Linked DNA regions of Arabidopsis thaliana. The protein of the gene in region 1 interacts with the protein of each later gene in a biochemical or structural test. Each region holds a gene or a part of one and is shown in the gene's direction. Other genes may lie near its edges.

The links. Proteins that work in one complex are often made in the same cells at the same time.
Region 2: the proteins of SRF8 (region 1) and AT3G03770 form a complex in vitro, tested with the Arabidopsis thaliana proteins (one large-scale study listed by BioGRID).

What each region holds. Positions count from the first base shown.
Region 1 is NC_003075.7:11,721,420-11,728,214, forward strand, and holds SRF8 (STRUBBELIG-receptor family 8), read left to right. Parts: upstream 1-1,968; 5' UTR 1,969-2,313; coding exon 2,314-2,413; intron 2,414-2,749; coding exon 2,750-2,882; intron 2,883-2,983; coding exon 2,984-3,055; intron 3,056-3,154; coding exon 3,155-3,220; intron 3,221-3,286; exon of another isoform or gene 3,287-3,309; coding exon 3,310-3,381; intron 3,382-3,467; coding exon 3,468-3,539; intron 3,540-3,615; coding exon 3,616-3,687; intron 3,688-3,780; coding exon 3,781-3,846; intron 3,847-3,925; coding exon 3,926-3,991; intron 3,992-4,067; coding exon 4,068-4,602; intron 4,603-4,688; coding exon 4,689-4,960; intron 4,961-5,047; coding exon 5,048-5,183; intron 5,184-5,261; coding exon 5,262-5,401; intron 5,402-5,503; coding exon 5,504-5,660; intron 5,661-5,759; coding exon 5,760-5,912; 3' UTR 5,913-6,274; downstream 6,275-6,795.
Region 2 is NC_003074.8:944,576-951,277, reverse strand, and holds AT3G03770 (Leucine-rich repeat protein kinase family protein), read left to right. Parts: upstream 1-2,039; 5' UTR 2,040-2,399; exon of another isoform or gene 2,400-2,482; 5' UTR 2,483-2,574; intron 2,575-2,775; 5' UTR 2,776-2,841; coding exon 2,842-4,177; intron 4,178-4,271; coding exon 4,272-4,405; intron 4,406-4,498; coding exon 4,499-4,739; intron 4,740-4,835; coding exon 4,836-5,041; intron 5,042-5,114; coding exon 5,115-5,158; intron 5,159-5,326; coding exon 5,327-5,438; intron 5,439-5,517; coding exon 5,518-5,830; intron 5,831-5,952; coding exon 5,953-5,975; 3' UTR 5,976-6,201; downstream 6,202-6,702. Other genes in the region: LBD20 (LOB domain-containing protein 20), read right to left, coding at 6,605-6,702.

The sequences.
Region 1 (6,795 bases):
TTCAGTGATTTTGATGCATCAACCTACAAAAAATCGTTAGGATTTACATAATTGAAAACTTGTAACGTTAATTTAATCTTTTTTGCTACGTATAACTGTCTGACTTGATTAGCTCAACTACTCATCAAAATTTAAGTTTTCCATGTGATTTATAACAAGTCTTGTTCCAAAGAAGTTAAGATTTCATGAAAATATATATACATAAATAGTTAAAACTTACAACAGTAACCAACACACTGAAGTTTTTTTTCTATATAATGCTCAATTATAAAATAGATATACGTTATTTAAAATAATCCAATACAAGGTCACGGGATTTCATTCCATGGAATAAAGTCTCTCTTTCAATACATTAAAAAAGCAATACTGATTCTTCCTAATAACCCTCATTTACCCCACATTGAGTTCATGTGTTTTTTTTTAGTTCACCTATACAATACAAAAGATAAGAAATTATACGATATATAAAATGTAAACGAATGAAACTACATGAATGTGACAAAGTAACATAAAACTACACGAATTTATGGTTTCCAGTGTCCGGCGAATTCATTTATTGGTAAGACGTAAGAGACAAATTATATGATTCTACCATTCAAATTCAAATATCGTTCTAAACTTTGTATAAAAACATATAGAATGAAAAACCAAGAAAAATCTCGTTCTAAACTTTTTTTGTATCAAAGATATAATGAAAAGATGAATAAAATGGGGGAAAAAAGTTGATTTAATATATCATTGATGTTCTATTCTCTGTCAAGAACAAGCGGGCGTATAAGCTATTAGCCAGATTGGATCCACACATGATTTCACTTTGAGCTTTAAGTAGAGTCTCTTTTAAATGTGTATTTTACTCATTGATTAACATGAGAGGAATAATAGTTTTCATAAGAGTACAAAAAAATAAAGTATATAACATGAGAACAGGCCAAAAGGTAACATTATGCTCGTGGATTTCATGAGTGGACAATACTATCTTTTACTCTATGTAGTCTATTATTAGTCGTTTTCACGAAACTATCCCACATTTCTTTTGTCCATCTATATCCTGTCGTTTTCCTTTTTGCTGCTATATCATTTTTTAGAATTCTCTCAAAATTTACATTTTTTTTTGCAAAATACAACCTTCACGTATTCTTTTGTGTGTTCTAAATTGTAACTCTGTTTTATAAAACCTCAATTTGTTTTGTGTAGTTGAATTTACTAGCCAACTAATTAAGCCGAGTGTTTCTAATCGTCAAATCATTTTTCAGAAAAAAGTCAGCCAACTTACTTTCTCACCAACAATAAGCCAATTTGGTTCTTATATACTCACTCAATATTCAACTATAATTTACAAAATACTTTTACTATTATGAAAAAAACTCATGCATAGTGTCTTCAATGTAAGTATGTCCTACAAAATGTTTTAGAGTTGGCTGGTCAATAAATGATAGATTCAGAATTCGTAAAGATGATGATATATAGAAAGAGCTTTTACAGTAGCAAGTACAAATAATTGATAACCAAATGGGTAGAATTTAACTCGAAGACGTGGCAGAGAAGGTGTACTATAAGGAATTTAAGAACACAAGTAGAGGATTAACAAAAGAAGAAAAGGCTTTGGAAAAAGCAAAACAAAACTGATAGCGAAAGCCAAATAGCCCAAAAAGAACGCGAGTCAAATGTTGCCTCCCAAAATTTACTATTTTTTTACTCTCATATTAAAATCACTCTAAATATACATAGAAAATTGTTCTCCAAAACATTAAAATATGTTGAAAAAATAAAATGAAAGCAAATTCCAAACTCCCACCGACACCAACACAAACACACAAGTCAGTAAGTCAGATTCAATTATCAAATATGGTCAAGAAATTCAACAATCTCATATCAATCACACAAGATAAAGTATAAAAAGACTTATATAAATGATTGAATCAGTGATATTAACTACTATTAACAATCTTGTCTTATGAGTTAAATGAAGTCTTAAATACGTTTTACCAATTAATGTGAATGAATCTACGGAGAAACAGAGGTTTTTAGTATAATAATCATAAAATAAACCTGAATTAAAATATTATATACTAAAAAATAGTTTCTCTCTCTTCATAACTCAGAGCAAGCTTGGAATCAATCTCTCAATCTCTCACTCTCTCACTACCTATCCTTTTCTTTAATGGCGATGTCTCTAACTACTACTATCCCCAACACACACTGTTACTCTTCTTCTTCTTCTCTGTCACTGTCTATTCTCTCTTTTGGACCTTTCATGGCTATGTTTCTCTGCAATGGAAGTCCAAGCTCGTGATCACCAACACCGACACGCTAATGGCTATTGGAGATAGAGCTATGTTTACTGTTTTGCTTCTATTCATTGCTTCGATCTCTGGATTCTCTGTTGTTCGTTGTGTTACTGATCCATCTGATGGTAAAGTATTCAGCTTTATGAGTTTTCTTCTTCTCTGCTTTTAACCTCATTGTTTTGATTGATCATCTATGTGATTTGAGAGTGAAGGGTTTTTAAAAGTTGATTACTTTAGATTTAGAAGATGAAACCCTTTTGCATTAATGTAGATTTGATGATTTTTGACACCGTCTGTTTTCCTGAGAACCCGCCGGAAAATAATATTTCTGCTTTACTTACTTTTTTAGCTCAAAAAGGAAAGTTGTAAACTTTATGAAAGATTTTTCTTCTTTCTTGATAGATCCTTTGATGTGTTTTTCTGACTTGTGAGCTGTTTTCTTCTTTCTGGTATTATTGCAGTTCAAGCCCTTCAAGTTTTGTATACTTCACTAAATAGTCCTTCACAGCTAACCAATTGGAAAAATGGTGGTGGTGATCCATGTGGAGAGTCATGGAAAGGGATTACTTGTGAGGGCTCTGCAGTTGTCACTATGTAAAGAATCAGATTTTGAGTATTATTTTTGTTCTTTCCACTTGCATTGATTTGTGATTGTCTTATAATGTTGTTGTTTTCTGTTGTTATGATTGTAACAGAGATATATCGGATTTAGGAGTCTCTGGCACTCTTGGATACTTGCTCTCAGACCTTAAGTCACTCAGAAAATTGTATTGTTTTTGGAATTTTCCTTCTGTTTTTGTTTGTTTGATCTTTCTGCTCTTTGGATTTTGGTTCAATAACTTTGGTCTCTTTCGTTTTGGTTACAGGGATGTTAGTGGTAACAGCATCCATGATACACTTCCATATCAGTTGCCACCGAATCTCACAAGCCTGTAATGCTGTGTTTGCTTAGCTTTGTTGTTATAGTATTTACTCTCAGTTTTCAATTTGAAACTAACAGTTTAAAGAAAATGTAATGCAGAAATCTTGCGAGAAACAACCTAAGTGGTAACCTTCCATACTCCATATCCGCCATGGGTTCTCTTTCGTATATGTGAGTTTGCCTTTCTAGAACCATACACTGTGAGATTAGCATGTTTAGTTTTCTTATGTATTATAGTTTGAAATGTTATTGTGTAGGAATGTAAGTGGTAATTCACTTACAATGTCAATAGGAGATATCTTTGCTGATCATAAGTCACTGGCAACCTTGTAAGATCGCTTACCTATCACTTTAGCATAGTCATATCACTTCCAGTTTCCATTGATCTATTGTTTCTTTATTCAGGGACCTTTCTCATAACAACTTCAGTGGCGATCTTCCTAGTTCCTTAAGCACAGTGTCCACACTTTCCGTTCTGTAAGTGCTTTCAAACAATCTTTAGTGGAACAATACTTAAGAAGTGCGAAAGGAAATTCCATGATAATATCTGATTATCTTCATTTGTGACAGTTATGTTCAGAACAATCAATTGACAGGTTCCATCGATGTTCTCTCGGGGTTGCCTTTGAAAACTTTGTAAGTTTCATTGCAAGTAGAAAAAGAAACGAATGTATATATTCCTCCATCACACTTACCGTCTATGTTTTCTTGGCAGAAATGTTGCAAACAATCATTTCAATGGATCCATACCTAAGGAGCTTAGTTCTATTCAGACCTTAATGTAAGTTTTCAATAACAATCTGTTAATTTCAATTTAAACTGTAAGTTTATGTCTTTGACATTCCTAAATGAAACAGATATGATGGTAATTCCTTTGATAACGTCCCTGCCTCTCCTCAGCCAGAAAGACCTGGCAAAAAAGAGACACCTTCTGGTTCTAAGAAACCCAAAATTGGTTCTGAAGAGAAATCTTCAGACTCTGGCAAGGGTTTGTCTGGTGGAGTAGTCACTGGTATAGTGTTCGGTTCTCTATTTGTTGCTGGTATTATAGCACTTGTTCTTTACTTGTGCCTTCACAAGAAAAAACGGAAAGTTAGAGGAAGTACAAGAGCTTCCCAAAGAAGTCTTCCGCTTAGTGGAACACCTGAGGTGCAGGAGCAGAGGGTAAAAAGTGTAGCATCCGTTGCAGACTTGAAGTCTTCACCTGCAGAAAAAGTAACGGTTGATCGCGTTATGAAGAACGGCTCTATAAGTAGAATAAGATCTCCTATCACTGCTTCACAATACACTGTTTCCTCTCTGCAAGTTGCAACAAACAGCTTTAGTCAAGAAAACATCATTGGTGAAGGTTCTCTAGGCCGTGTCTATAGAGCAGAGTTCCCCAATGGAAAGGTAACTCAAAAGTTGACAGCTTTCTACACTAAGCAAAGCTAATATTCTTTCTTTGAACTAAATTTTTCTGTGTAACATAATTCTAGATAATGGCGATTAAGAAGATTGATAATGCAGCACTTTCATTACAAGAAGAAGATAATTTCTTAGAAGCCGTTTCAAATATGTCGCGGTTGAGGCATCCAAACATTGTTCCCTTGGCTGGATACTGCACCGAGCATGGTCAACGTCTTCTAGTGTATGAATATGTAGGAAATGGGAATCTAGATGATACGCTTCACACGAATGATGATAGAAGCATGAATCTGACTTGGAATGCGCGTGTTAAAGTGGCTCTTGGAACTGCCAAGGCTTTAGAGTATGTGCAAATTGTTATGATTATTTCTAGCCTCTTTAATGAACAACATTCATCTTAAACCAAAGTTTTCTGATTTTGTTTTTCTAGGTACTTGCACGAAGTTTGCTTGCCTTCAATTGTCCATAGAAACTTCAAATCAGCGAATATATTGCTAGACGAAGAACTTAATCCTCACCTATCAGACAGTGGTTTAGCTGCTTTGACACCTAACACTGAGAGACAGGTAATAACAATGGAAAGAATCAGATTTAATCTAATTGAAACATTTTCTGAGTCTTTCATGGTTTATGCATGTCAACAGGTTTCAACTCAAGTGGTAGGTTCATTTGGATACAGCGCTCCAGAGTTTGCACTGTCGGGAATTTACACAGTGAAAAGTGATGTATACACTTTTGGAGTAGTCATGCTTGAGCTCTTAACTGGTCGGAAGCCTCTTGACAGGTTTCTTTTCATATTTTTAGTAGCCAATGTTGAGCAATAGCCAATGTGAGCAAAAGCCTGATTTGAGTTTCCTTATGTAAAATGTGCTTTGTGTATGTGTAGCTCGAGGACGAGAGCAGAGCAATCACTAGTGAGATGGGCAACACCGCAGCTTCACGATATAGATGCTTTGTCTAAAATGGTTGATCCTTCTCTTAATGGCATGTATCCAGCTAAGTCACTGTCTCGTTTTGCGGACATCATTGCTCTCTGTATTCAGGTAAAATACCATCCAAACTCTGGAGAATGTCCTAATTGAACAAAACCGAAATTGTTTTGTAAAGTAACCATATCTCTCTATCTTTCTTTGTTAATTTAGCCGGAACCAGAGTTCAGGCCTCCAATGTCAGAGGTGGTGCAACAGCTAGTAAGATTAGTTCAAAGGGCAAGTGTTGTCAAACGAAGATCAAGTGATGACACTGGATTTTCATACAGGACACCTGAACACGAGCACGTCGATATCTCATTCTGAGTAATGATCCAAAACTACTCCAAAATCGGGTCTTTTCTGTCATTCGAAGCTAAAATGCAGCTTGAAAACTCAAAAGGAAGAGAGAGTTTTGCTCAATGCATAAGAGAATCTGATCCAAAGGACTACAGAGAAGTAAAGAAGCATCTTGGTTCATACCAAAAGTGTAAGAAAATATATGTTTGTGTATTTTTGTAAGAGTAAAATTAGAGTACATAACCATGTTTCAATCATCTTTCTTGTACCATTTTCTCTTCACCTGTTGAATAATCAAGTATGAGACTTGTTGCTGCATCAAAATAACATTTGAAATTTTGCCTATTTAAGAGCTCTTCTTTGTTGTTGAATAATTTCGTAGAAGCCAGTTTGATTCTTTAAGAAAAGTGAAGCATGATTAAGAAGAAAGATAGATCTGATGTTAATTTTTGTTGAGATGACCCAAGTCAAAAGCGTTGTTCATGTTCATCTGTTCTCATCAGCCACAAAATAACAACAGACCATAACAATAAACAAACCTAAAGTTAACTTAAACCCCACGGAAGTCTATACAACTGATTCTGCCAACATAGTTTTCTTCATCATCTCTCTGATCTCTCCTCTTTTTCACATTTCTCTAAGTTTTGGAACGCACCATACAGACATCACAACCATAGACGACAAAGACCGACAAAGATAAACCCTAACTTACTAAAATCTGCACCAAAGAGCTTCCCAAGTTATATAACTTATCATCTCTTGTGGCTTTTATCCCCAAGAACTCGCGATTACCTTTTTCTGCGCTTCGTTTCCACCTGATGATGAAAACATTTCAGCCTTGTTAATATCGGTGACAAGACTTTGGGCACAAAATAGGAAGGAAAAAACGGGTTCCTTAGAGTGCCAGACA
Region 2 (6,702 bases), on another chromosome or scaffold:
GAATTCTAAAGTCGAATAAAATTAAAGGATTAGTTTGAGGATGCGGTTGATAAATTAGCAAATGATCACTTCACAATTACGACATACCTAACAAAAACCACAATAAATCTTAATGTTGAACAAACCATCTAACCTAATTTATTACACCGCAAGACGAAAATGACACACACACACACACTCCTCTAGGCTCTAACGTACGTCTTAATTAAGTATTTGCTTTCGCTTTCTACAAATCACTTTAATGTAGTGTATATATATTTATGTGATAAAAACAGAATAATGTAACATATGAATGCATGATAGTAATCAAGAAAAAAACATAAAATAGTCGTATAAATGTATTTCTATGAAATAATCTCAAATTACTTCACTTAGCCAATAAATTTTCATAATATATTAATTTTATAGTTGCCAGTCGATCAATTTTCACTACCAGTTAAAATAGTCGTATAAATGTATTTCTAGCCGTTATTAATTTTCTTTTCGTCTACCAAATTAAAGATCAATCTTTTTTTGTTAAGGAAAAAGAAATCGAAATTGGAAATTACCACGTTCTATTTCGTATTGTTTAAAGTTGGCTAGTCGATTATAAGCTGCACCAACAATTTTTAGTTTTATTTAAACTATGATTGTATACGACGACATTGACTATTGAGACATGCAACCAACAGATACAAAACAAAACTAACCAAAAAATGAAACACGCAAAATGAAGGAAAAAAATAAGATAAATTAAAATTAAATATTTATTCCTAAACGATGCACAGAAAAATCTAACAGAAGAAGATGCTTATATAAAACCAGGTGGACTAAAATTTCACAGAATTTTGTTTTCTTATGTTTGTAAGCATTTACTTTACTTGTTTTCTTATACCTGCAACTATGAATCATATTAAAAAAAACTACAAGATTAATAAAAAGATGAATCACTCATGGCACGTGAGAGTAGTCAAGAGATTAAGACATCATGCCTTAGTTTCAATTTAATATGATTAAATACACGAGTTTAGTTTAAATTGTTTGTTAATTTGATTTCCAATTCCTTGCATGTTATTCTTTATTGATCATATTATATGTGAGCTAATTTGTTGTATTAAGATTGTTTTCTTGAACTTTGAAAAGGTCGGAGAAGATTGGGACCTACATGTGTCACTTTAAAAGTCTGGTGTGACCTTTCTGATGGAGATGCCTTCGTGCGAAAGCTTACATTACAGTATGTGTCACAACTTCGCTTTCTTTTTATTTTCACCTTAAATATATATATTACCTCTTTCAGATTTAAGTTTTTGGATGGATCTTTTTTTTTTCTTTCAGTTTGGTTTTAAGCCTAGTTTTTGATAAAATTCCGGTGTAGTTGTTGTGGTTTTTATGTTTAGTTTGTTTTCAGCTTTCTTACATGATCAAAATTCAAAACAAAATTAGAGTTACACTAATTTACTTGGTTTTGTTTACTCATTCTTGATTAATCTTGTTTAACTTAGCATACCCAATTAATTGATAGACAGACTTTTCTCAATCAAATTAATATTCATATAAGAAACTTTAAAAAAATATCAAAATTAAATCTATACTATATAAAGACTTGTTTGCCTCAGACTCGTATTTGTAGATCATCCCCCTAAAGGCCTAAACCCTAAAAGAATATTTCTCTTATCATTACCTTTTTATCTTTCTTTTTTTTTTTGTCTTTTTACTTTTTCTTGGCCACAGCTTTGGCTGGAGTGGATTTCTCTTTGGTCCCTATTTTTTTGAAAGTGATAATATAATATGAACATATTTAATGCTGATAAAATAATTTACTTTGTGTACTGTATAAATAGTGAGACAACCAAAAATAAAAAGATCAGAAAAAAACGTCGGCCAGACCCTGTTGGATTCGCTTTTTTTTTTTTCTTTTTTAATTTGTTAAAAATGCATGTGAACACTTACAAGATTATTTTTTGGACAAAAAAATTCTATTTCTATTTTGTTTGTTTGTTTTAAAATTATTTTTGTAAAAAGAATTTATCGTTGTCTTCATCTCGTGATGGAGACTTAGAGAGGAGGACCAAACTCTCTGTCGTTAGCCACTGACAATTTACTAAATCGTATGGTTGCTAAAATGTTTTTGCATTGATTTTACAGAATTTGTTTTTGTTTATTGTCTATTTAAAAAATAAAAAAAGTTTGTTGGGTTAATATTGTTCCCAGAGTATCCTCTGTTTTATTCTTATAAGATATAATAATCACTCGTGAAGGAATCTTGAATGTTTTTAAAGCTCCTTGAGGAACTTTCATCTCTTACAGAGGATTTTCTTGGGAACTTTTCTCACTTTCTTCTTTAAATCAAGTTGCTACTTTTTTTGTTTCTTTAGATAAAATCGATATTCCATTCACAGTTACTTCATAAGTTTGCAGAGGTATTTCTTCATCTCAAAGGAAACGATTTGTCTTTTCATTTTCTCATTCTTCTTACTCTGATGAAACCAAATTTTGTTTCCAGGAAAAATAAAATTTAATCTCTTGTGCTCAAAAGTTTCCTGCATCTTTTCTTCTTGCAAGGTGTCTTAAAGAGGAGATTCTGTAACACATGTGGTGAGTTCTTCCTGTTTTTCTGGAATTCACATGCAAAAATCATATTTTTTTAGTTTGAAGATTGATTTCTAAGATTCTCTTCTGTTTAATGCATTAACGAGAAAGTGGTTAAAATATCAAGATCTTGAGAGTGGACCCTGTTTTGTAAGTACATTATATATAAATGTGATTCTTGAATGAAATGTGTCTCTCTCTTTGCAGGTTTTGATGATGATGCTTATATGATTTTATTTAGTAGTTGTGTGTGTTTTATGGTCTTGTGTGGCTATGGAGAAACTCTATTGTGGCATGCCGTTACTGCTTCTGGTTCTGCTTTTAGCTTCCATTGATGGCTCTACACAGCTACAATCATCTCAATCTCAAACCCTCTTGAGGCTGCAACAGCTTCTCTACTATCCCAAAGTGTTAAACAGCTGGAACAACTATACAGATTTCTGCAATTCTGAGCCAAGCCCTTCGCTAACCGTTGTGTGTTATGAAGATAGTGTAACGCAGCTTCACATTATAGGAGACAATGGAACTCATATGTTACCAAAGAGTTTCTCAATAAACTCGTTTGTTACTACTCTTGTTAAGCTCCCTGATGTTAAAGTTCTCACGTTTGTGTCCCTTGGGTTATGGGGTTGGTTACCTCAGAAAATCAACCGTTTATCCTCTTTGGAGATTCTCAATGTGAGTTCCAATTTCCTCTTTGGACCAATCCCTCATGAACTCTCGTCGCTTGCTACTCTTCAGACGCTTATACTCGACGAGAATATGTTTTCTGGTGAGTTACCGGATTGGATTGATTCTTTGCCGAGTTTAGCTGTGTTGAGCTTGAGAAAGAACGTGCTTAATGGGTCATTGCCTTCTTCTTTGAGTAGCTTGTCAGGTCTTAGAGTTCTTGCTTTAGCTAATAACCGGTTTAATGGAGCTTTGCCTGATTTAAGCCATTTGACAAACCTTCAAGTGCTTGATCTTGAAGGAAACTCTTTTGGACCGTTGTTTCCTCGGTTAAGTAACAAGCTGGTTACTCTTATACTCAGCAAGAACAAGTTTAGATCTGCAGTTTCAGCTGAAGAAGTAAGTTCTCTGTATCAGCTTCAACATTTGGATCTTTCCTACAATACATTCGTTGGTCCATTTCCTACTTCCTTGATGTCTCTTCCCGCGATAACTTACTTGAACATTTCACACAACAAACTCACCGGGCGGCTTTCAGCAAATCTTTCTTGCAACTCACAGCTGATGTTTGTAGATATGTCATCAAATCTTCTTACCGGAAGTTTGCCTACTTGCCTTAAACCGAGTTCCGGCACTAGCAGAGATGTTGTCTATGCAAGCAACTGTTTGGCTACTACGAATGAAGATCAACGTCCAGTTTCTTTTTGTAGTAATGAAGCTCTTGCTGTTGGAATCCTACCACAGAGGAGGAACAAAGTTTCCAAAGTGGGTATTGCTTTAGGTGTAACCGCAAGCATTCTCGGGGTACTTCTCCTCGCCGGTGCCTTATTTGTGGTTCTTAGGAGATTAAATGCTAAGAAAACAGTGACGAAATCTTCCCCAAGATTGATTAGAGAGAATGCTTCAATGGGGTACACATCGAAACTACTATCAGATGCAAGTAAGAGGATAAAATATCTCTCACATATTGTCACATAGATTACATAGAACTTGTCTTCATTGATAACTTGTGCTGTAACTGCAATACTTTGAAGGGTATATCTCTCAAACAATGAAGCTAGGAGGGCTCGGTCTTCCAGCTTACAGGACATTCTCACTGGAGGAGCTCGAGTATGCAACAAATAACTTTGAATCCTCTGCTTTCATGGGTGAAGGTTCTCAAGGACAGGTACAGCAGTGAAGCTTCAATCTTTCTTTAGCTAGTTTCCATTTTTTGAACAGTTGAATCAAACAAGATTTTTGTTTTCATTGTTCTTTTCAGATTTATAGAGGGAGATTGAAAGATGGATCCTTTGTGGCAATTAGGTGTCTGAAAATGAAGAAAAGTTGCAGCACACAAAACTTGATGCATCACATTGAGCTCATCGCTAAACTGCGGCACCGTCACTTGGTTAGTGTGCTCGGGCACTGCTTCGAGTGCTACTTGGATGATTCAACAGTCAGCAGAATGTTCTTTGTCTTTGAGTATGTCCCAAATGGAGAACTCAGGACCTGGATTTCTGGTACCACACTGAAACATCATGTGTTTTAAGAATGAAGATGATCATTATATATTTTTTAATAACTAAATCGGATTGTTCTTGTCTCTGCTGTGCTAGATGGGCACATGGGAAGATTGCTTACTTGGGAACAACGCATAAGCGTAGCGATAGGTGTAGCAAAAGGGATCCAGTTCTTGCATACCGGTATTGTGCCTGGTGTTTATGATAACAACCTTAAAATGACAGACATTTTGCTTGACAATAACCTTGCGGCGAAACTCAGTAGCTATAATCTTCCATTGCTTGTGGAAGGTCTTGGAAAGGTAAATGACGATGTCAAAAGTTCGAATGTTTTTGTTTCTTGAATTTTGAATCTCTTTTGCTTTCCTTTCTAAGGTGGGGCAAGTAGGATCTCGGAGCGGACCTAAAGGCACTCCAAGGTGTGTAATAATCTTCTTTACTCTGTTTCTCATCAGCTTGTAAACCCGGTTATATGGTTTAATCCTCTGTTTCTCAAAAGAATCAAAAACGGTTTATATGGTTTAATCCTCTGTTTCTCATCAGCTTGTAAACCGGTTTATATGGTTTAATCCTCTGTTTCTTAACAGCATCAAAGACGAAGATAAAATCGATATCTATGATTTTGGAGTGATATTGCTTGAACTTATAGTGGGAAGACCATTGAGAGCAAAGAGTCAAGTCGATGTTCTAAAAGAGCAGGTAACACCATTCGATATATATGTAGCTTGATGTGGAATCGCTATCATCTACTTTAAAAACTCTTTTTTATTTGTTGTAGTTACAAGCAAGCATTTCAGCGGATGATGGAGCACGTAGGAGCATGGTGGATCCAACGGTCCATAGAGCTTGTTCAGACCAATCACTGAAGACAATGATGGAGATATGTGTAAGGTGTCTCCTTAAAGACCCTTTAGAACGTCCTTCCATTGAAGATGTCCTGTGGAATCTTCAGTTTGCTTCTCAAGTTCAAGAAGGTTGGCTACAAAACAGCAATCCCTCGAGCAATCTCGGCTCGCCTTCTCCTGCTGCTTCCTCTCTTCCTCCTCCCTCTCGTTTACACGTAACAACACTCGAATCTCCCCGAGATTCAGGTATTTTTGAACTCGATCTTTTATGATCAATTGATTCAGTTCAGAATAGAATTTGATTGTTAAAGATTTGAGATTGAATAAGTTTATTGATCTGAGACTTATTTGTGTGGTTGTAATTGCAGGATGTGAAGAACATGAGAGGTAGAGAGACGAGGGTTTTTGTTTGGTCTTGTTCACTGATCACTACTCTTTGGAAAGAACATAACCTTTTTGTTTGTAATTTGATGTTTGTTTTTGTTTTTTTGTCTTTAGTTGTGTTGAGCTTAAACGATCATAACAGTTAATAATATAGTTAATTTTTCTTATAAACTTTACTTAAAAGAACAGTGTCGGTTAATTTTTATTCTTCAAAAGGAATACAAGTCCAACAATGGTGAGATAATTTTGGAAAATTCAATCGTTTTTTCTTCCTGTTTTGTTCAGCGAAAATAAATTAAAATTGTATATAGAAATTGAGATGGAACCGATTTCTAGGGTTTAGAAAAGATTTGCTTGATTGATTCTTCTTGTCCAAGAAATCAAAATAGAGGATAATGGCTGGTGTTGGATCATCAAATCCTTTACTTATTTATTAATTTGGATTCGTATGTAAATTCAGTTAATTCCAACTAGTATGATAATTAACCAATAACTACATGCATATATCTCATTCAAATATTTCACGACAACTCTACATGTATAGTATACGTCTGCTGGATATACTTATTCTCTTTCTCAACATTATTATAAAAACGGAGATATATTTAAATTAAAGACAAACCCTAGGTAATACATTCATCTCCGGTGAAAATCCTCCGCCGGAAATATAACCTTCGAAGCCACCGCCGTCGATCCAACAGCCACCGAAAAATCAGCACCGCTCTCTTCCTCAT